Linked DNA regions of Bombyx mori. The protein of the gene in region 3 purifies or fractionates together with the protein of the main gene of each other region. This does not show direct contact. Links are inferred from orthologs where the notes say so. Each region holds a gene or a part of one and is shown on either strand. Other genes may lie near its edges.

Evidence for each region.
Region 1: the proteins of cell growth-regulating nucleolar protein (region 3) and uncharacterized protein LOC101746403 purify together in Homo sapiens (affinity purification with mass spectrometry; 3 studies listed by BioGRID and IntAct, with this or other methods). This does not show direct contact. The link is inferred for Bombyx mori from reciprocal best matches to the Homo sapiens genes LYAR and GNL2.
Region 2: the proteins of cell growth-regulating nucleolar protein (region 3) and nucleolar GTP-binding protein 1 purify together in Homo sapiens (co-immunoprecipitation; 3 studies listed by BioGRID and IntAct, with this or other methods). This does not show direct contact. The link is inferred for Bombyx mori from reciprocal best matches to the Homo sapiens genes LYAR and GTPBP4.

What each region holds. Positions count from the first base shown.
Region 1 is NC_085117.1:10,939,882-10,947,405, reverse strand, and holds the start of uncharacterized protein LOC101746403, read left to right. Parts: upstream 1-3,376; 5' UTR 3,377-3,778; coding exon 3,779-5,812; intron 5,813-6,221; coding exon 6,222-6,735; intron 6,736-7,132; coding exon 7,133-7,346; intron 7,347-7,524. Other genes in the region: transmembrane protein 170A, read right to left, coding at 1,663-2,061. UniProt on the Homo sapiens protein: GTPase that associates with pre-60S ribosomal subunits in the nucleolus and is required for their nuclear export and maturation.
Region 2 is NC_085108.1:540,302-546,465, forward strand, and holds the end of nucleolar GTP-binding protein 1, read left to right. Parts: intron 1-296; coding exon 297-406; intron 407-1,172; coding exon 1,173-1,291; intron 1,292-2,236; coding exon 2,237-2,370; intron 2,371-3,027; coding exon 3,028-3,158; intron 3,159-4,232; coding exon 4,233-4,388; 3' UTR 4,389-4,435; downstream 4,436-6,164. UniProt on the Homo sapiens protein: Involved in the biogenesis of the 60S ribosomal subunit. Acts as a TP53 repressor, preventing TP53 stabilization and cell cycle arrest.
Region 3 is NC_085132.1:5,508,325-5,515,721, reverse strand, and holds cell growth-regulating nucleolar protein, read right to left. Parts: upstream 3,868-7,397; 5' UTR 3,719-3,867; exon of another isoform or gene 3,659-3,718; intron 3,579-3,658; 5' UTR 3,523-3,578; coding exon 3,395-3,522; intron 2,553-3,394; coding exon 1,436-2,552; 3' UTR 1,269-1,435; downstream 1-1,268. Other genes in the region: transferrin 2, read left to right, coding at 6,798-6,840, 7,000-7,196. UniProt on the Homo sapiens protein: Plays a role in the maintenance of the appropriate processing of 47S/45S pre-rRNA to 32S/30S pre-rRNAs and their subsequent processing to produce 18S and 28S rRNAs. Also acts at the level of transcription regulation.

The DNA.
Region 1 (7,524 bases), on a different chromosome or scaffold from region 3:
TAGTTTAAATACAAGTTTCGAACCAACAAATTCCAATATTTTCGGACTGTCGATCTACCGTGCAATTTGACCCGCTCGGTAGAAGAACTGACTTCCCTTTGTCGTTATCACCGAAGAACCGCATAGAATTGACATGACACATGCGATCTACATGCTAGCATGAAAATACATGATTTATGAGTTGTAGATGTACCAACGCTCCGATTTTGCTAGCATTCGTTGCCTGAAGGGTAGATGCCTGGTGAATCATTATTGAGTGATTGACAGGGTTCAAGACTTATATTAGAGCACAGTTTTAATACTTTCTGAGACATGTATTGCTACATGTTTACAAATGACGGCCATGCTGTACATGTGCACGTTCTTTGAAAGTAGGTAGGTATGGCATATGGACCCCAGTGACCACTTAGCAGTTGGATGGGCTGTAAGAATGTAATATTTAAAAAAAGCCTTAATAGCAAAATTCATTGACAACTAGAGTGTAGCTCAATTAGTAGAAATTGGGTGCTTATTTTGTCATTTTTTTCTAAGGCAACATAAATGATCAAGTAACAGCTATTTCTTTATTTAATATTCAAAGCTATACAACTCAAAGTTATAGAAAACAATAAAAAAAAAATTTAAAAAAGCAGTTTATTTCTGGTTTAAAAATGACATTGTTCTTTTTATTAACTGTTTTGAATTTTCTTTAAATAATGTTTTGACTTATATACAAGGAGTAAAGGACATTTTCTTAGTAGGTAATCCATCAAAAATTTAAAGTATTTAGGTATATATTGTTCCAAATTTTTTATAACAGACAATTACACTTCTATTTTTTTTTAATAACACTACATACACCAAATACTATGCCAATTTATTGCCACAAAACTTATACATAATATAATGACAATTACTGAAATTTAAGAAGGCAGGTACACAATCATTCTTGCTTCTTACAAAAAAAATCCTTTGAATAAATTAAACACATGGGTTTGTTTTTTGGTAATCTTATTAAAATAAGTACAATTATAATTTTATATGGTTATGTCTTGAATTGAGTGGGGCACTACAATCCCATTATTAAAACAAAGACAAAGAGCTACACTTTCAATAAATGTCTCTTTTACACAATTTAAAATTATATATTATACAGTAAATCTCATTAAACATTTTAACTACGGTGGGATTATCAAATAATCTAAAGTAATGAATTCATTTGAAAAATTGAATTTCCAAATACAAAATTTCAGTTGAATCGACAATTTTCACTTGGAATGCTTTATCATTTACACATAATATATACACTATTTATACATACAGTATGGAAGAATACAAATTTATATTAATTGTCTCACTGAAGCATCAGTCAAGTTCACTAAAAAATTCTATTTCAATAATTACATATTTACAGCATTTCATCTATTTTAAAATACACATTATTATTTATAAATTTGCATTAACATTTCACATTTACCAGCACTAGAATCAAATTGAATAATATATGTTTACATTATATTATTAGCTTAGTGTCAAGTTATTTGCTATTGTCTTATTATTTTCATATGGCTAAAAATTGATGTCTTAGTGTAATAACTACTTAATTGACAATCACTTATTTCATGTGCTGTGTGGGCTAGCTGTTTCATAAAATAGTAATACAGTGCAATTTATATTTACAAATTACAATGTTGCTAAAATTCTTGTAAATCCTATTCCAGCTCCTAGTATAGTTTGACCAATGCCCCAAACCATAGCATGTATGGGAGGCATCGCCATATTAGCAGCACGGTATATAAATGCTATGGCAGCACTACAGGCTACGCCCGAAGTCACTGGACCAACTACACCCATCACTATCAGCAGAACAGGAAAAAACTTGCCATATTTGTGCTTCCTTAGAGTTCCAATGGCTACAAGAGCCGCACATGTGTGCACAAACACTGAAGAACATAATGACCAAAGGAACATTGGGTACCACATTTCACCAAACGTATCTAACGGATCACCAGAAGTCAATCTTAATATATCCACAAATGAATCGAATTCTGAAACTCTGAATTCAGACAACATGTCATACATGTTGCCCTTCGTTTCTTGGAAACTAAAGGCATCTGGGTATCTGGCCTTTATTCTTTACCAAAGAAATCGTATGAGCGGTATAGAAACTAATGTTTCTGTTGGACGCATTAATATTTGACTGTTGTACTTATACAACATTATCCATTCGTTTGAAATTTTATGTGTCTTCACAATTTATAAAACTACTTTTTTAACAATTTATAGTAAAGCTAGCTGTCATATATAGCATGCAGCATTTACGTGTAAATTCTTTTGTCCTCAATATCCACTTTACCTAAAGACTACAAAGTAATATGGAGAAATATTACCTATCTACTCCCTAGTTTGTACAACCTGTCGAGAAATTAATTGTTTTGAATTGACAGTCGATAGATTTGACGTTTTTACCGTGACAATACTAGTGGTTAAATTTTTCTAACTGAAAAGGCGAAGGTATTTTTTGGACGGTCAAATTTGAGAGGACTGGGTTCTGCTGGTGAGGGGTTATTTAAAAACACTGCTTCATGTTTAATATAATTATATTGTAAATACTTTGTACACTATTACACCATTATAATATTTTATTTTTATAAAACTCTAAGATGTTGCTCTGACCGTGTCTAGATGAGAATTGTCTTCACATCATTATTTGTTTTAAACATATAAAAGCCTTCCAATATTCGAAATATGTAACCTTACATGTGTCAAGTGTTGCCTGCCATTACGTTCATATTCAAACTCCAACATCCCCCGTCAACACACATTTAACGCCCTGTATATAATTTAATACAATATTCCAAAAAAGAATAACACTAACCTGACCTTCATAAATTTAACATTACCTTCCATACATACATTAAAAACTCACAACCATTTATATTCAATTACCCCACTTAATCCCTCTCAATTCAACCTTTCAAACTTAATACCAACCTTAAAGCTACCTATATATTATATATATAGAATAAACGAGCAGTTTAAAGATATAAAATATGCATTTATCTGTTATTTAGGAATAAAGTTCTAAAAATTCTTAAAGGGTACTTTCTCAACTTAATATATAATAGTATTACTAGCGTATCTCAAAATAACACAATTTACTATTTTTTTGATTTGATTAAGTTGTATGCTACGTAAACAATTTAATTCGAGCTAAAGACTAAAGTTCCCTGTAAGTATAAATAAATTCATTTATAAGACAGTATTTTGTAATGTTTAAATTTCACAAATATATTGATTACATAGACAATACAATGAACATTAACCAGAGATCAAAATATATTTCTATTTTAAACAGTATTTAGAAATTATGTAGGTATAATCTGATAATCTATCCTCCTCCTTTGTATCTATGTTCATAGTTATTTTATAACTACTGCTGGCGCCTCTGCCGTTTTGTTTTAACCTTTTCCATAAAGGTACCTTATCGATAAAATTTAATGTATTAATACAACATAAATCAATAAAAGCTGTAAATATTGTTCCTAAAAAAACAAACTTGGGAATTTTTTGTTTGTCATCATAGTAAGTATTTTTCAACTCATTTGTGCTACACCTACAATATTTTTGTGCAGTGTGAAGTAAGCTACTTTTACATTGAGTTAGTTTGACAAAAAAAAAATGTGATGTGACGGTCCACACATAACCTCTTGTAGTAGATTAAAGATCATTAATTGTGTAATAAAAGTGAAAAAGAAGTTTTTTTTTTCCATAAACGTGTATTAAATCGCATACAAATATGGGAAAAGTTCGGTCGACTCCGGGTGCTCCCCGGAAACAAGGGTTTAATAAGTCTGGGCATTCAATGAACCCTGATCGACCCACAGAGGGTTTGAAAGGCGTAGGCAACCCGAGATCAAAAGGAACAATTAAGAGACTACAGATGTACCGAAACTTTAAGGCAAAAAGGGATAAAACCGGAAAAATTCTAACGCCAGCACCCTTTCAAGGTTGGTTACCATCAGGCACACAGGCACGCGTTGAACCAAACCAAAAATGGTTTGGAAATTCAAGAGTTATATCACAGAATGCATTGCAAAAATTTCAAGAGGAGTTTGGAGCTGCTGTAAGAAATCCATATCAAGTGATCATGAAACCAACGAATTTGCCCATAACATTACTTAATGAAAAAGCAAAAAATGCAAGAGTTCACCTTCTAGATACTGAAGGTTTTGATAGGACATTTGGTCCTAAAAAGCAGAGAAAAAGAGTAAATTTGAAATTCAGCGATCTAAATGATTTGCATAAAGCGGTAGAAGAAAGCTCTGAGAAATATGATGAAACTAAAGATATTGACAGAGTCCGTGAAGATTCAGGTGTAAAAGAAGGACAAAGAGACTGGGTTTTTGGGGCTGGAATGAGTAGGAGGATATGGAATGAATTATACAAAGTAATTGACTCATCAGATGTGTTATTGCAAGTTCTTGATGCAAGAGATCCCATTGGGACAAGAAGTCCTTATGTTGAAAAATTTTTGAGAGAAGAAAAACCCCATAAACATCTTATATTTATCTTGAATAAAGTTGATTTGGTACCAAATTGGGTGACACAGAGATGGGTCGCAATTCTCAGTGCTGAGTATCCAACGATAGCATTTCATGCTTCATTAACACATCCTTTTGGTAAAGGCTCACTTATAAATTTACTACGTCAATTTGGAAAGTTGCACATTGACAAGAAACAAATAAGTGTAGGTTTTATTGGTTATCCAAATGTAGGAAAATCATCTGTGATTAATACTTTAAGGTCTAAAAAAGTTTGTAAAGTAGCCCCAATTGCTGGTGAAACAAAAGTTTGGCAGTATATCACCTTAATGAAGAGAATATTCTTGATTGATTGTCCGGGTGTTGTTTATCCATCAGCTGAAACAGACACAGAGAAAGTATTAAAAGGAGTAGTGAGGGTTGAGCTGGTACAAAATCCTGATGATTATATTGAAGAAGTTATTAAAAGAGTCAGAAAGGAGTACTTAGTGAAGACTTATAAAGTAGATGGATGGGAAACAGCTACTGAATTTTTGGAAAAACTTGCAGCAAGAACTGGAAAATTGTTAAAAAAAGGTGAACCTGATGTTAACCAAGTTGCAAGGATGGTCCTTAATGATTGGCAGAGAGGTAAATTGCCTTTCTATGTAGCTCCAGAGGGATTTGAAGTACCACTCTCTAAGCAAACACAAGATGAAAAAACTGTTGAAGTTGCAAACGAAGAAGAAAAGATAACAACTGAGACTAAAGCAGAAAAAAATAAACCTGAAACTAAAACGGACGATAGTGATAAACCTATTGTTCATATAAGTAATTTGATGATTGCACAAGATTTTGCTAAGATAAGAGTTGGATTAAAATTTGACAACAATGAAGACATAAAACCTTTAGGTAAAATAGTAATATCAGAAGACATTAAAGTTAAAGATGGTGAGAGTGTCCTAAATTCATCAGTAATTGAAAGTGATGATGAAATAGAAAAAAATGATGATGAAGACGACTCTTCAGATATTAGCGAATTCTATAGTAATGATGAAAAAGAAACTTCTGATGTGGAAGACCATTTGACTAATGATCCCGAAACAATTAAAGAAATGAAGAGAAAGAAATTAGAAGCTGCCAGTGGAGCATTTACTGTAGAAGAAGTAGCACAAAGTGGAAAGAAACACAAAATTAACGATCAGAGTAATGAGTTTTCAAATAAGAAAATGACTGCAAAGAAACGTAGAGCCATAGAAAGAGCTAACCGCCGCACTAAAACAGGAAGCAACTTCTATGAAGTGTCTAATGTTAAAAATAGAAATAGAAATAAGAAAAGGCCCAATTTACCTTAATTTATTGTTTAACATGCCAAGAAAATACATTTTTTTAAATAAAATCTTTTTAGATTAATGTGTTTGTTTTTTATTAGTATTTTAATTGCTTACGAAAATAACTAGCTTCAGCACAATCCTCTACTATGCTGCTTACAGAATATTAAATTTTCAATTTTTTTTGCTGATATTTCAATAATAAGCTGCCATTGACAATTTCATTAGAGATATTTTAATTTATTACTGAATGAACACTGAATAATTTGAAGTATGTAGGTAGGTAGTACACTTGCAGTATTTTTTTAAAGATAATTCGTATTGATTTAGACAAAAAATCGGAACTTGAATTTAAGTTTTTATTAATTCTCTGTTCTGCTATTTTCAGATGTCATCAGGGAGTGAGAGCGACGAAGACTATGTACCTGGAGAACCGGAAAAACTATCTGAAGAGGAATCTGCTGATGATGAAACTGAAAAACAATACGAACATGAAGTTGAAGGCAAAATAAAAAAACGGAAAGCTACAGCTGAAAAAATAAATAAAGTAAAGAAGTCTAGAAAGAGCCAAAATGATACAATAATACAAGTTACATCAGAAAAAGATAAAACACCTGAACCAATAGTTGACTCTGAACAAGAGAAAAAACGAGAAGAAGATTTGTGGGCGAAGTTTCTTGAAGGAACCGATTCAAAGCCTAAACCAGTTCTTAAAGAAAAAAGTGTTGATTTAGTTACCAACCCGGAAAGGTCAAGCAATAATACGGTAAATTATAAGAAAACAAATGATGATGATGCCAAAGAAAAAGAAAGAAGGATTTTTGAATTTGCTGGTGAAAAAATTGTAGTAGAAAATAATGTCATAAAAGAGCGGTTGAAAGTTGACGAAACATCTATGGAAGGTAAACTTAAAGCTCCCACTGTAAATGAAAGTTAAGAATATATAACAGGACTAAAGTTAAATTTGTAATACCAAAATATTAACAGATATAACTGTTCTGTGATGTAAGCCCATAAAATATATTTGTGTGCAACTTTATAGTCATAAATAATTCAGTATAATGAATCTATCTAAGCAGTTCTAAGTATTAAGATAATATGTGTGAATATGTACAAAGTATCTACATATATTTAATAGGTATTACTAGTAAATGCTGGTTCTTTCAATGAGGAGTTTGTGACTAGTGGCAGAACTTTGAAGCAACTCATTATATTTTTTTATCTTTGGTGCCTGATGCTCATTCATAATAGACTGACGACTTACCATATTTTTAATACTATACTTACTTATAATTTTAGCCATTAAATCTGATGGTTCCCAAAATCAAACATCAGATATAACAGCTCAGTCATCAAGTAGTGCAAAACCTGGTGGACTTTCTAATGTTTTGGGTCAACTAAATAAGAAAAACAGATTGTCTACCTTAGAAAAATCGAAATTAGATTGGGTCACTTACAAGCACGAAGAAGGAATTGACGATGAAATACAAAGTCACAACAAAGGCAAACAAGGGTGAGTTATTCATTAGAAATTCAAAGAAACACCACAATATATAGCTATTAATAGCAACTAATTTCATCTTTTATTAGAGCTCAAGAAATTATAGCGTACTTTTTAAATTATTATCGGCATTGTCGTCGTTCCTCAAACGTCTTGAAGTCGGTATAACATTCAAAGATTCCGTTACATA
Region 2 (6,164 bases), on a different chromosome or scaffold from region 3:
CCGTATGCTCGTCTGCCTACAAGGGCAATAAAAAAAATATTGTGATACTTTACCACCAGTTACATTATCTGTCTTTTAAAGTAAGATAAAATTATGTATTAATTTTGTTAATAGTAGTCAAAATATAGGTAAAGTAAAAAAAATAAAAAAAATAAAACTAAACTATGGTCTTTTGACAGTATTTATGAGAAAAATACTGGTGATACCAAATGATTCCGCATATTAACTCAATTTCGAATCTTTTTGGAAATTGCACACTTTTGATGCGAAAAAACGGCTTGTCTGTTGCTTTGCAGACTTGAAGAAGAACTACACGGAGATCCCGGAGGACGAGCGCTATGACGTCATCCCGGAGATCTGGGAGGGACACAACATCGCCGACTATATCGACCCGGACATCTTTGATGTGAGTATCATTCCCTTATCACAGGGATACCAGAGATTAAGACTCTGGTGGTAGGACCTCTTGTGAACTGGTGGTAGGACCTCTTGTGAGTCCGCACTGGTAGGTACCACCACCCTGCCTATTTCTGCCGTGAAGCAGTAATGTGTTTCGGTTTGAAGGGCGGGGCAGCCGTTGTAACTATACTTGGGACCTTATAACTTATGTCTCAAGTTGGGTGGCGCATTTATGTCGTAGATGTCTGTGGGCTCCAGTAACCACTTAACACCAGGTGGGCTTTGAGCTCGTATGGTAGTGCGGAACACCTCCACTTATATCTTTGACCTGCCCGGCGCCATCTGTCCGTACCTCGACAGGAACCGTCTCCACACAACTGCGTCAAATATCGTCATGAGGCTTTGGAACATTTTTATTTATGTAGTCATATTTATGAGGCTATATTATTGTTACGCGCTGGGGCTCGGGATGAATAAAATTTCACCAAAGTACAACTAAAAACTGTATTCAACACTTAAAACACTGAATATTCCACACATCTCTAGTAGTAGTTTCCGCTATCTGACAATAGATGGCGTTGTAATTCTCGAGCGTTCTAGGTCCTTCGACATTCGTTCGACTATTCGGCGATAGATGGCGTTACTTTTACCGGCGTAACATTATGTTAGTGTATTAAAAAAAAACTAGTTTTTAGACTTTTTGGATATGTGCTCAAAGTTTTACTTAAATTGAAAATTTAGATTAGAATTTAAAGGTATCGTAATTTTACCAGAAACTGGCAGAGTTGGAGAAGGACGAGGAACTGCGCGAGGCTGGCGGCATGTACGCCGCGCCCAAGATCGAGCTGGACGACACCGTGAGGGAGATCAGGGAACTGGCCCGGCAGATACGGTGAGCCCCGGCACCCTCAACCCGCCCCCACTCATTGTAGCCATTGTAGGTTCTAAATACTGTAGATTGAGGGGGATTCGGGACCCTTTCCAAATCCAACAATTTTTTTTATTGCTTAGATGAGTGGACAAGCTCACAGCCCACCTAGTGTTAAGTGGTTACTGGAGCCCATAGATATCTACGACGTAAATGCGCTACACCCACCTTGAGATATAAGTTCTAAGATCTCAATACAGTTACAACGGCTGCCCCACCCTTCAAATCGAAACGCATTACTGCTTCACGGCAGAAATAAGCGGGGTGGTGGTACCTACTCGCGTGAACTCACAAGAGGTCCTACCACTAGTGATTACGTAAATTATAATTTTGCGGGTTTGATTTTTATTACACGATGTTATTCCTTCACCGTGGAAGTCAACCGTGAACAATTGTTGAGTACGTACTTCATTAGAAAAATTGGTACCCGCCGGCGGGATTCGAACACCGGTGCATCTCTCAACACGAATGCACCGGACGTCTTATCCTTTAGGCCACGACGACTTCAAAGGGTAATACTAACTTACGGTACTTTCTAAGGGTTATACCAATAAAATTGAGATTAAAATGGTTCCGGAGGCTTAATACGATGCGTTATTATACATAGTTCGTTACAAAGTATACACAAAAACTGAAAAAACTAGCTTGACCCGATTCACCTTGGCTTTAGGGTGTATCAGGTTACATTAGGGACAATAGTTTTTCGATAGGGCTGCCACTATTTATTTGTTAGGTTGATGACTAAATTAAACTATTTAATATTCTTAAACACTAAATAAAATTAATTTTCAATTCAACAAAGTTGAAACTAACAAGTCAACAAAAGTATTGTGACATCCCAGATTTGTCCCAATTCTAACACTAGTCTCAATTCCCCCCGATCTACTGTAATCATCTCCTTGTGTTTAGCAACAAGAAGGCCATTCTCAAGGACGAGTCTCGCCTGGTGAAGCAGTCCACGAAGCCGGTGATGCCGCGCACCTCGCGAGCCAAGACCAAGCAGAGGTCCACCTCCAAGCTCAGGAAGGACATGGAGAAACTTGGTACGTGTTTCAGTTGTACACCGGGACGACGCGCTAGTGAGCACGCACCCACATGTTGAGGTCTAGTCGAGTCAACAACTTTGAACTTGTGGACTCTATTTACTCTATTTATGTGTAAAGAAGCAAAAGAGTCTGGAAGAGATCGCTCTCTCTCTCTCTCTCTCTCTCTCTTGAAAGTGCATAAATGTGGGAAAATGAAACAAAGCCGCTGGACGTAACTTCACGGGTTCCTCCAAAAAGTCCACTAAAAAAAAATTACAGTAAATGACCGATTTTGGTGATGATGATTTTACTGAGATTATATTTCATCTCATTTCATTCAATTTCATCCCAGTTGATTAATGTCTCAAATTAATCATCTTTATTTCATTTCATTTCACTCCATATTATCAATTTTAATAAAAATAAGAAAATAAATTCTTAGGTCTTAGTTACCAGGTCATAAAATCCCATAAAAAAAAGCATTGTAAATTTTTACATAAAATAAACATTTTATTATTGTCGCCGTCATATTTAGGGCCGCTTATTTAAGCGTCCTAAAATAGATGTTTGACTGTGTGATTGTTTCTCGTAGGCCGGATACTAACATTGCCCGATAATAGTGATCGAGATACTATTTTAAGTTATTGAATATAACGTTTGTATGTGTCGCTCCAGGCGTGGACATGTCGGAGACCGGCGACGCGCACTTCACCCGCGCCCGCCCCCGCTCCCGCTCCCGCTCGCTCTCCGCGCCGCCCGCCAAGCGCGCGCGGGAACCCTCCAACCAGCCGGTGGCCGACCCCATCGTGAGTACCCGCCACATTGACCTCACTACCGCTTATTTAGAGACCTCTACATGCAAACTGGTGTTTGGACCTCTTGTGAGTCCGCGCGGGTAGGTACGCCCCGCCTATTTCTGCCGTGAAGCAGTAATGCGTTTCGGTTTGAAGGGTGGTGCAGCCGTGTAACTGTACTGAGACCTTAATATCTCAAGGTGGGTGGCGCATTTACGTTGTAGATGTCCATGGGCTCCAGTAACCACTTAACACCAAGTGGGCTGTGAGCTCGTCCGCACATCTTCTAAGCAATAAATAAAAAATAGTTGCAAGTTTTTTTTGTATACCGGTCCTTGATATCCAAAATAACCCTTGTATGCCTTGGTTGCACGGAGGAGACATACAAGAACAAGGTTTCCTACAAAGTTTAATTAAAATTAGTCTATTAAAACAGTATTGTATGTTTATAAGTTCATAATGCCTCTACTGGCTCGTCCACTATCTATATGCCTGTGTAATGGAACCGCTCAACGTGACATTCATCAAGTTCAAAAGGTGAGATTGACTTGACAATGCACACGGGTCAATGACTGGTGACAATATAGTAATATTATTATTTTGGTCTCATACCTGCACTCGACAATGGTTTAGTGATTATTTTTATTTTAGCTTGCTAATTTTGTTTGTATTCGAAGTTTAATTATCTTATCTATATATATATATATATATATATATATATATATATATATATATATATATATAAATGAATTGCTGTTCGTTAGTCTCGCTAAAACTCGAGAACGGCTGGACCGATTTGGCTAATTTTGGTCTTGAATTATTTGTGGAAGTTCAGAGAAGGTTTAAAAGGTAGATAAATATGAAAATGCTCCTCGGAATTAAAAAAAAATAACAATTTTGTTTTCCCTTTGATGTGTCCCCCGTCGGACTGATTCCTTTTGTTTGTTTTTAGTTTATTTTATAAAAAAGTTTAGGGTCTTTTATTTATCGATTGATGCACTATGTTGCATAATGAGATTATTGACCAATCATCGATCACTAATAGTAAAAAAAAATATACATAATAATAAAATGTTTTTAAAACAGATGCGCGTGAAAGTAAAGAGGATGGCGCACGCGGCCATCGCCAAGAAGACCAAGAAGATGGGCCTCAAGGGAGAGGCGGACCGGTTCATCGGCACCAAGATGCCGAAGCATCTGTTCGCTGGAAAACGTGGGGTCGGCAAGACGGACCGGAGATAGTGCATCAGTGGACAGTGCTCTTTACCAATATATATATTTATACTATAGATCTTGTTTTATTGGTGGTGGTTTTTTGTTTTTGTTATTGTCCTTATAGGCAGACCGTATCCACCTGATGGTGAATGGTTACCGTCGACCATGGACATCAGCAATGCCAGGGACAGAGCCAAGCTACTAGCTGAATATCCTTAATGTAGCCCAATGGGGTCAAGTGATAGTATCGGGCCACAGGGAATGCAACCCAACCCGCTATCAATGCCATTTTTAAACGGAGTTCATTGCGCTGGATTAAAGTAAAATATGGTAGTTCATGGTAGTGTTTTTAAAAGTCGTCGAGGCCTAACGGATAAGACGTCCGGTGCATTCGTGTTGAGCGATGCACCGGTGTTCAAATCCTGCAGGTGGGTACCAATTTTTCTAATGTAATATGGACTTGACAATTGTTCACGATTGACTTCCACGGTGAAGGAATAACATCGTGTAATAAAAATCAAACCCGCAAACATTATAATTTGCGTAATTACTGGTGGTAGGACCTCTTGTGAGTCCGCGCGGGTAGGTACCACCACCCTGCCTATTTCTGCCGTGAAGCAGTAATGCGTTTCGGTTCGAAGGGTGGGGTAGCTGTTGTAACTATACTTGAGACCTTAGAACTGATATCTCAAGGTAGATGGCGCATTTACGTTGTAGATGCCTATGGGCTTCCGTAACCACTTAACACCAGGTGGGCTGTGAGCTCGTACACACATAGGCAATAAAAAAAAAATGATTGAACGATTCGAATGAGATTTCTAACAAGCGTAGTTTATAGCATTTTAATAATATTTATCAGGACCCAAGCATCGCCGGGTACTTGTTATGCTAAATACGTGACGTCACGCAACAACGAACCCGTAAATGTACTAGAAGGTAGGATCATTTTAAATGCATTCCGACAGATTAATTAATTGTCGATCATAATTGCAATCAGTTTTAACTATCAAATTATTCTGTACCATTTAATTTTTAATTTCTTGTACAAAATCAAAGATAAATATTAAATAGTTTTTATAATTGTGTATACGAGTATCTGATTAGGTTAATTTAATATTCTATCATTTTTGTAGTAACTAGTTTCTTCTTACATCAGGATACAATTGATTTTGTATTGTTGTATTAAATAGTTTTTTTTTATTGCTTAGACGTGTGGACAAGCTCACAGCCCACCTGGTGTTAAGTGGTTACTGGAGCCCATAGACATCTACTACGTAAATGCGCCACACACCTTGAGATATAAGTTCTAAGGTCTCAGTATAGTCACAACGGCTGCCCCACCCTTCAAACCGAAACGCATTACTGCTTCACGGCAGAAATAAGCGGGGCGGTGGTACCTACCCGTGCGGACTCACAAGAGGTCCTTCCACAAAAAAACTAGTCAGTAGGGTTAACTAAGCTTATAAAATAAAAGTTGGGAATGTCTAATGCTTTATTGATCTGTGGTCTGGATCCCACCGCAAAAGGAGCGGTTTGTTTTGGCGGGATTGATTTTGTTTAGTATTTTTAGTTTTTGGGGTTGTTTCATTTAGACTTTCATGTACACATGAGCGACAGATATTCTAGGTAAAGACTAGCACAGCGGCAAAGTCGAAATTCGACTATAATTAATTGAAATTATAAGTTTGTATACTAATATGGTTCTATTGGCAAATACTATTATAATTCTTTAATCACAAATCTCGCCAAGATTACACTTTAGACAAAAATGTTAAAGACGAACAATAGGGTTCATCCATATTA
Region 3 (7,397 bases):
ACGCAAATTACAATTTTGCGTTTTGATTTTTATTACACGATGTTTTCCTTTGCCGTGGAAATCAATCGTGAACATTTGCTGAGTAGGTACGTATTTCATTAGAAAAACTGGTACCTGCCTGAGATTCGAACACCGGTGCATCGCTCAACACGTCTTATCTTCTAGGCCACGACGACTTCAAATGTGGTAAAATTAACTGTCCAATTGTCCAGTCTAATCGCTGGTAGCCTAAGGGACTATTTCAATTGCTTTCGGCCTCGGTTTTCTACCACAGCCGAGACCGCATGGGATTGAAATTACGCTCTATATAGCAACTATAGTTGGACACGGGAACGGTCGGTACTCATTGATTCCGACATTGATATTTCTCAATCGGTGATAGTGGTCTAAAAGTGGCAATATCAAATCCCAGGGGAGAATCAATTTTCATGTTATTAGATTGTAGGTACAACGACGAAAGGAACATCTTCCACCGAGCGGGTGATATTGCTCGGTAGACCGACGATCCGAACGTTGTTGTTCGGAACTAGTACATATGCAAACTTATCTTGAAAATGTCGTAAGCGAGATTCAGGCATTTGTCAAATATCTTGTGTTGTGCGATGGCTACCGCCACAAGACAATTAGTACATGTTTACGAATGAATTATTTAATTTAATATTTAAAAAAAAAAAACATATTTAAATAAAAAAAAAAGACTTGTCCGCTGAGTTTCTTGCCAATTCTTCTCAGGACGGAGGCTAGTTTTTGTGAATTGGCGGTAGTTCTTTTGACGTTCAACAAGTATTTACTTTCATTTATGTTGAATAAAAAAAATTTGATTTGATTTGATTGATTCGAATTCCAAAATAAAGGAGTAACATCGAGAAAGAGCAAATCGTGGTAAAATATAATTTGAGTACCTAATTACTCGTTAGAGTAGGGTAGGTAGGTACTGCCACCCTGCCTATAATCAGTAATGGATTCCAGTTGAAGGGTAGGTAAGAATATTGTATAGTGAACAATTGACTCTAGATCTTAGTGGGTGCGGCATTCGCGTTGTGATGTCTGCTGACTCCGGAAACCACTTAACGTCAAATGAGCCGTAGGTTTGTATAGGTACCAGTCTATAATAAAATTACAAATGTTACGACGCCGCGAGACGGGCTTGGATCAATGTCGAATTGTGCGATTGACCTACTAAGATATGGTTCTTCGTGTGCCTATGGATTATGGCAAACACCTTCACCGTTTAAATAAATATAATGAAGTTGGTGGGTGTAAATGACTTTTAAATAAATATCCACAATTTTATTACATTTTTAGGTTATATAATGTTTTTACTTTATGTCTTAGGATTAAGAGGAAAGTTATAAATACACAAAAAAGAACACATGGGAAACAGGTCTTTAGAAATTGTAAAATTTTCTTTCATGTTTCAAATCCATATAAAAATTCATTCAATGAGCAATACCCTATTTTTGTCAACCCTCACATTAGGAGCACTCTTCAGTTTTTTTATAAATTTATCAGCAATTCTATCATCAATCTCTTGGCCAGTAGCTTCACTATATTCAGCTAATACTTTCTTCTGAAGCCTTTTAAATGGGACTTCATTATCTTTCTTCTGCAAAACTGACATAATAACTGCGTGCCAGTTAAATTTGCCATTGTTCTCAGCATTAACCTCTTCGATTCTGGCAACATTCTGATCGTGGAGACACAAACTTGCATCTTCTTTTGCTTCCTCATCCTTCTTCTTCTTCTTTTTGGTTTTTTCTGCTGGCACTTTAGTTTCAATGTTATCAGCGACAACTTCAACAGCCGGCACTCCGTTCAAACTATTAACTGTATCTTGACGTTTACGTTTCTTCTGCTTTTTAGTCTCCGTTGCCTCTACTGTGTCACCATTCTGTGATTCAGTCCTGTTCTTCTTTTTCTTACCTTTTTTTCCTTCATTTTCAATCTCATCCTCAACTGGGGGAGCTTCAGCACTATGCAATTCTGCTTCATACTTCTGACGTTTCTTCTCTTCTTTGCGTTGTTTTTTGGACAGCTTTTTTAGATCACCAACATCATTACCATTAGGATTTTCAACATTTTTTACATCAGCATCATCATTCTGAGAGTTATTTTCTTTATTCTGCTCATCATTTTCTTTATTCTGTTCACCATTTTCTTTATTCTGTTCCCCATTTTCTTTATTAACTTCACCATTGGTAATATTGCCTTTATTTAGATTCTGAGTTACGTTTGATAAATCTGTAAGCTTTACAGAAATAAATTCCCAAGCTTGGTCAATGTCTTTTGGATTAGTTTTATGTCCACAGACATTTTTGACAAAATTAATAAACTTAGGCTTCTTTCGTGGTGTATTGTTATGCTTGCTTATTGTCTCAATAATCCTACGTACATTTTGAGGTGCACTTTTTTGCTCATCTAAAACTGACTGCAACATCTCCACCCAAGCATTTTGTTTTTTCTCACCCTTTTTCTCCTTAGCTGTGAAACCTTTTCCAGAGTATCTTTCTTCTTCAGTAATGCACTTGATATGCGATTCATAATCTTTTCCTCTGTAATAATGTAATGAAATAAAAACACAATTTAAAAATTCACACAGTTTAAAAAATAGAATATTATTAATGCCTTTTCATAAATAAACTAATCACTTCAATCAAAATGGTTTTTCATTAGCATAGCACCAGTAATTAAAACATTTCATTACCATGACACTACAAATTATAAGTCTGCAAGGGTTACTAGCATTCTGCCAAGTTCTGTCTATTTTGGACATCCATTACACAGTACAAATGGGACTTTGACCTCATGTCTGACATTTGTGGCAGTTATGTTCTATACGGACTCCAGTAATTGTTTAGAACAATGTAGCCTCACCCTAAAGTTAATTTTGGTATTGCCTTTTATTATAATCTCTTTTTGGCTGTGGGGACCGAATTGATGCGCCAAGAATGCTAAACAGCTCATAGCAGTTTGCCACAAGAATGCCTAGTTGTCAACAGTCATTGGCAAACAATAACTCTCGTCTGTCATCTCAGTAGGTCATGCGGACCTACTGAGTTTCCCTAGCTAGACTAAAACCAGTCGCACTTCATTATGCTCTCGGTCCAAAAACTGAGGATTGATGCACTAGGCTCACAATGATTGCACTGCATGCCTTTTATTTTTCTTTCAGGCCGGGTGTCGAAACTCATACGATGTCTCCGCGCCTACGGGGACGCTGGGTATGTGGGACTTGACGATCTGCAGATGCTGGAAGCAGATCACAGGCCCAAGGATATTTGCATGCCTGGCCTGGCCCAACCTAAACTAACTAGAAAGTATCATATTATTGCTAGCTTATTATTTCGGAGCTATAATTAAAGTATTGATATCCAATCAAGACCGAAATACTCACAGAAAATCTTTGAAACAGTCCATACATGACAAATTTGGATTTTTATTCCTACATTTAGTGAGATAATGCTTTTCCACTTTGGGCTTCTGAACAGACTCCCCACAATGACTGCATGTAAAAACAACCATTTCTTGTAAAACACGTGTGAATTGGGGCTATTTGTTTTGAATGCAAAATGTATAACCTGAAAATCGATATTGATATATTTGAAACTGTCGTCTTTTACTTTTATTGTAAATTGAAATGTACAAAGATTTGAAGAACCTTAAATTTAAAAATGATCAGTATTTTATTTTCACTCGTGTATGTAGTTTTATGGATTACCGTTTTATATTTTTGTAAACTTTTATGTGTCAAACTATTTTTTGTGTAGCAAATAGCAATTGGCAACAAAATACATTTTCTATTTTTTCAGTATGGCAATAGTGTCGAATTTTTGCCAATCCCTTCATTCCATTACTTCAAACATGATAGTGAATATTAGTGAAAGATGAGGCGGAATGAAACTGATGTAATAGAAATTGTAATCTATTGTAATCCAATTTAGTGAAATAACATCACAGTAAATTGGCGAGAATTCAATGAAACTTTAGAGGGCTTTTTAGATGATGAACACGACAAGCGACGTCCCCGACTTGCTTCATTTTCCCACACTTGTGCACTTTCACAAATAAAGGATTCTAAACGGTTAACAAGCCTTCAATATAACATGTTCAAAGCTGAAGAAATACTAAACAAATTTCAATTTCCACATCTTCATTTTTTCACGTTCCCACAAAGCCATAATACATACTATGTATGTGCATGCACAGTGCACTTAGTCGGCAATCGACATTATTATTGAATCCCTTGGACTGGCTTAAGGACTGATGCCCATACAAAACAATGGAACAAAGACAGACACCACACGGCAGCATACTGTGATATGAAAAATAAAGTGAAATTGGTTTTGGAGTGAAATTTAATAAAAAATGTAATGATAAAAGAGGAGAAAAGACAGTACCAGCAGGTGTTGGATGAGATGAAATGAAATAACATCTCAGCGAAATGGTGGGGATTTCACAAATGCTACAATTATAATAAACGGAGCGAATCCCCTTCTACCATATGAAAAATGAATGACAAGAAGTAGATCAGAGAAGATTAAGACAACAGACAACTTCCGACCACACGATACATGTCACAATAATTGAATACAGTATTAATTATTGTGGCATTAGCATGAAGCCCATTAGCAGAAATATTAACCCACTTAAATGAGTAAATTTGACAATTAAAAAATATCAGTACAATTTACTGTACCCTTTGAAGTAAAGTAATACCTATTAAACGAGTTAAATAATGTTTGATTAACTTCTGAAGATAGCAATGTTTGATAAAAAAAATTAAGAATGAAATACTAAGATGGATGATGAACGAAAACTGTTGATTTAAGCTGTTGTACAGAGTACATTGAAGAACAATTAAAAGGCCTCTAAGCTTATTTATCAAATGTTTTATCTGTGCTCTAATGCCGGCCACTGACATGCGCGCAAATATTCGTACATTGTACGAATGCATGCGCGCAAATATTCGTACATTGTACGAATGTTTGCGCGCATGTGAAGGGCCGTCAAACATTCATTCGCAAACCTAGCGGCTGTGCAAATGGGTTCGTATACTCAATTTGCGAACCCGTTTGCGCTTCCTCCTACACTTGTTTACGAATGTCTCACGAATTTCTCCTCCTTTTTAATTCGTCAATAGAACATTGAAAAGAAAAAGAGTTTTGAATTCTTTCCCAAACATCATTAACAGCCATGCTGTTTTATGGGATTTCTTTTGATGAAGATACGCTACACAGTAGACGTCACGAACTATGAAAATGGCGATACGTCCGTTACCTTCGCAATCGTCGGCGCAACTGGGCAAGCGAATGTGTGGGAGACTACGCGAAGGTTCGAGGTTCGCGCGCTTTGATGTCTGTTAAAAAATCGACACAGCTTGAAAAACCACGAATGCAGCGAAAACTTTGCATAATGATTCGCAAATGTCGTCCTACACTTGCGGGTTTGCGTATTCGTGCGCATGTGAGTGACCGGTGTAAGCGATCTGACTGAGATTATATTAAACTACCCACGGAAATAAACAACATTCTCAAGTTTTGGTATGGGAACCAGATCAACAATGTGCGATGGGCTGGGGCTTTGTCTCTTCCGTATAGGTTGGAGTGCGGGGTGAGACAAGGGGGATTGAGCTCGCCTACGCTCTTCAACCTGTATATGAACGAGCTGATCGGCGAACTCAGTAGGACCAGGATTGGTTGTTTCATAGACGGGGTGTGCGTAAACAACATCAGCTACGCAGACGATATGGTGCTGCTGAGCGCGTCTATCTGTGGCCTAAGGCAACTTGTTTCTTTGTGTGAGGGATACGCCAAATCACACGGTTTGGTGTACAACTGTAAAAAGTCGGAGATCATGGTCTTTGAGACCAGGGGTGGGATGCATGATAAAATACCTCACGTAGTACTCAACGGAACGCCATTGACAAGAGTTTATAAATTTAAATATCTCTGCCATGTGTTGACCCCTGATCTCAAAGATGATGAAGATATTGAACGAGAGCGGAGAGCGTTGTCGGTTAGAGCAAACATGATAGCTCGCAGGTTTGCACGGTGTTCACTTAAAGTCAAGGTCACCCTCTTTAAGGCCTACTGTACTAACTTTTACACGTGTAGCTTGTGGGCTGGATATACTCAAAGATCGTACAACGCTCTCCGTGTTCAATATAATAACGCGTTTAGGGTGCTGGTGGTGCTGCCCCGCTTTTGTAGCGCATCAGGGATGTTTGCAGACGCGCACATAGATTGTTTTTACGCTACCATGCGTAAGAGGTGTGCATCTCTGGTAAGCAGAGTGAGGGCCAGCTCCAACAGTATCCTGAGCATGATCGCAAGCAGGCTGGGCTGTGTATACATGGGTCGCTGTGGTGTCATCTCCCATGGGATGTTACGACAGTAATTCATTGTGATGTAAATATAACTACTAACATAGGTCTAAGTCTTATTAACAATTTATATGAATCATGGTTACTTGCAATAAAAACATTATTATTATTATTATTATATTTTATCTCACATTAACTCATTTCATTTCGTGCCATCCCATGTTTCATAATAATAAACTTTATTTCATTTCACTTCATATTACCATTTTTTATAAAAATAAGAATATAAATTAAAATAAGACTTGACCTAAAGGTTACCAGGGCAAAAAATAGTTTAAAAAAAGTTTAATGTTTGGGTGTGTCTAAATATTTGCAAACACATTTAATAACCGAAATTAAATTCGGAAATAAATATGTTTAGAGTGAAACTTGAACTTGATATTATGTAAAGTAACAATCTGGTACAGAGAATACAATGGCAGCTATTTTTTCATTTACAATTTTATGTTTTATTACCGGTAAGTTTGTACTGCAACCGCACCTTTACGCTTATTTATGATTTAGTGTAATCAACTAGATATAAACTGTTGGAAAAAAAAAAGATTCTTCATAATAAAAGAAATCGAAAATTTTATTCAATCGAATTCAATTCAATTCATTAGTTTATAACGTTTCAGCTCAAACTTCAGCTAACTACTTTGGCAGCGAAAATGTTAACAAAATAGGAAGCATCCAAAGGAAAGAAGGTCAAGATCTAATAACATGGTGCACTATATCAGCATTGGAACAAAAAAAATGTGAAAAACTTATGAAGAGTTCTTTGCAGGATAAAGGACTTTTTGGGAATGATTATATTGAGTTGCAGTGTAAAAAGGTATGAAATTAATTCAATTTTATTTCACGATTGATTAAGTGATAGTGAAGCAAGCTAGAATTTTTTTATACAATAATATAGTTCTTCTATACTGTTATTGCTACTCTTATCTCTAGTAGAAGTTGTAGTGGGAAAAAACTTTTTTAACTCCTAGTTGTAATTTAAAATTGACTCTGTAGTTTGTGCAGCTTCTTACAATTA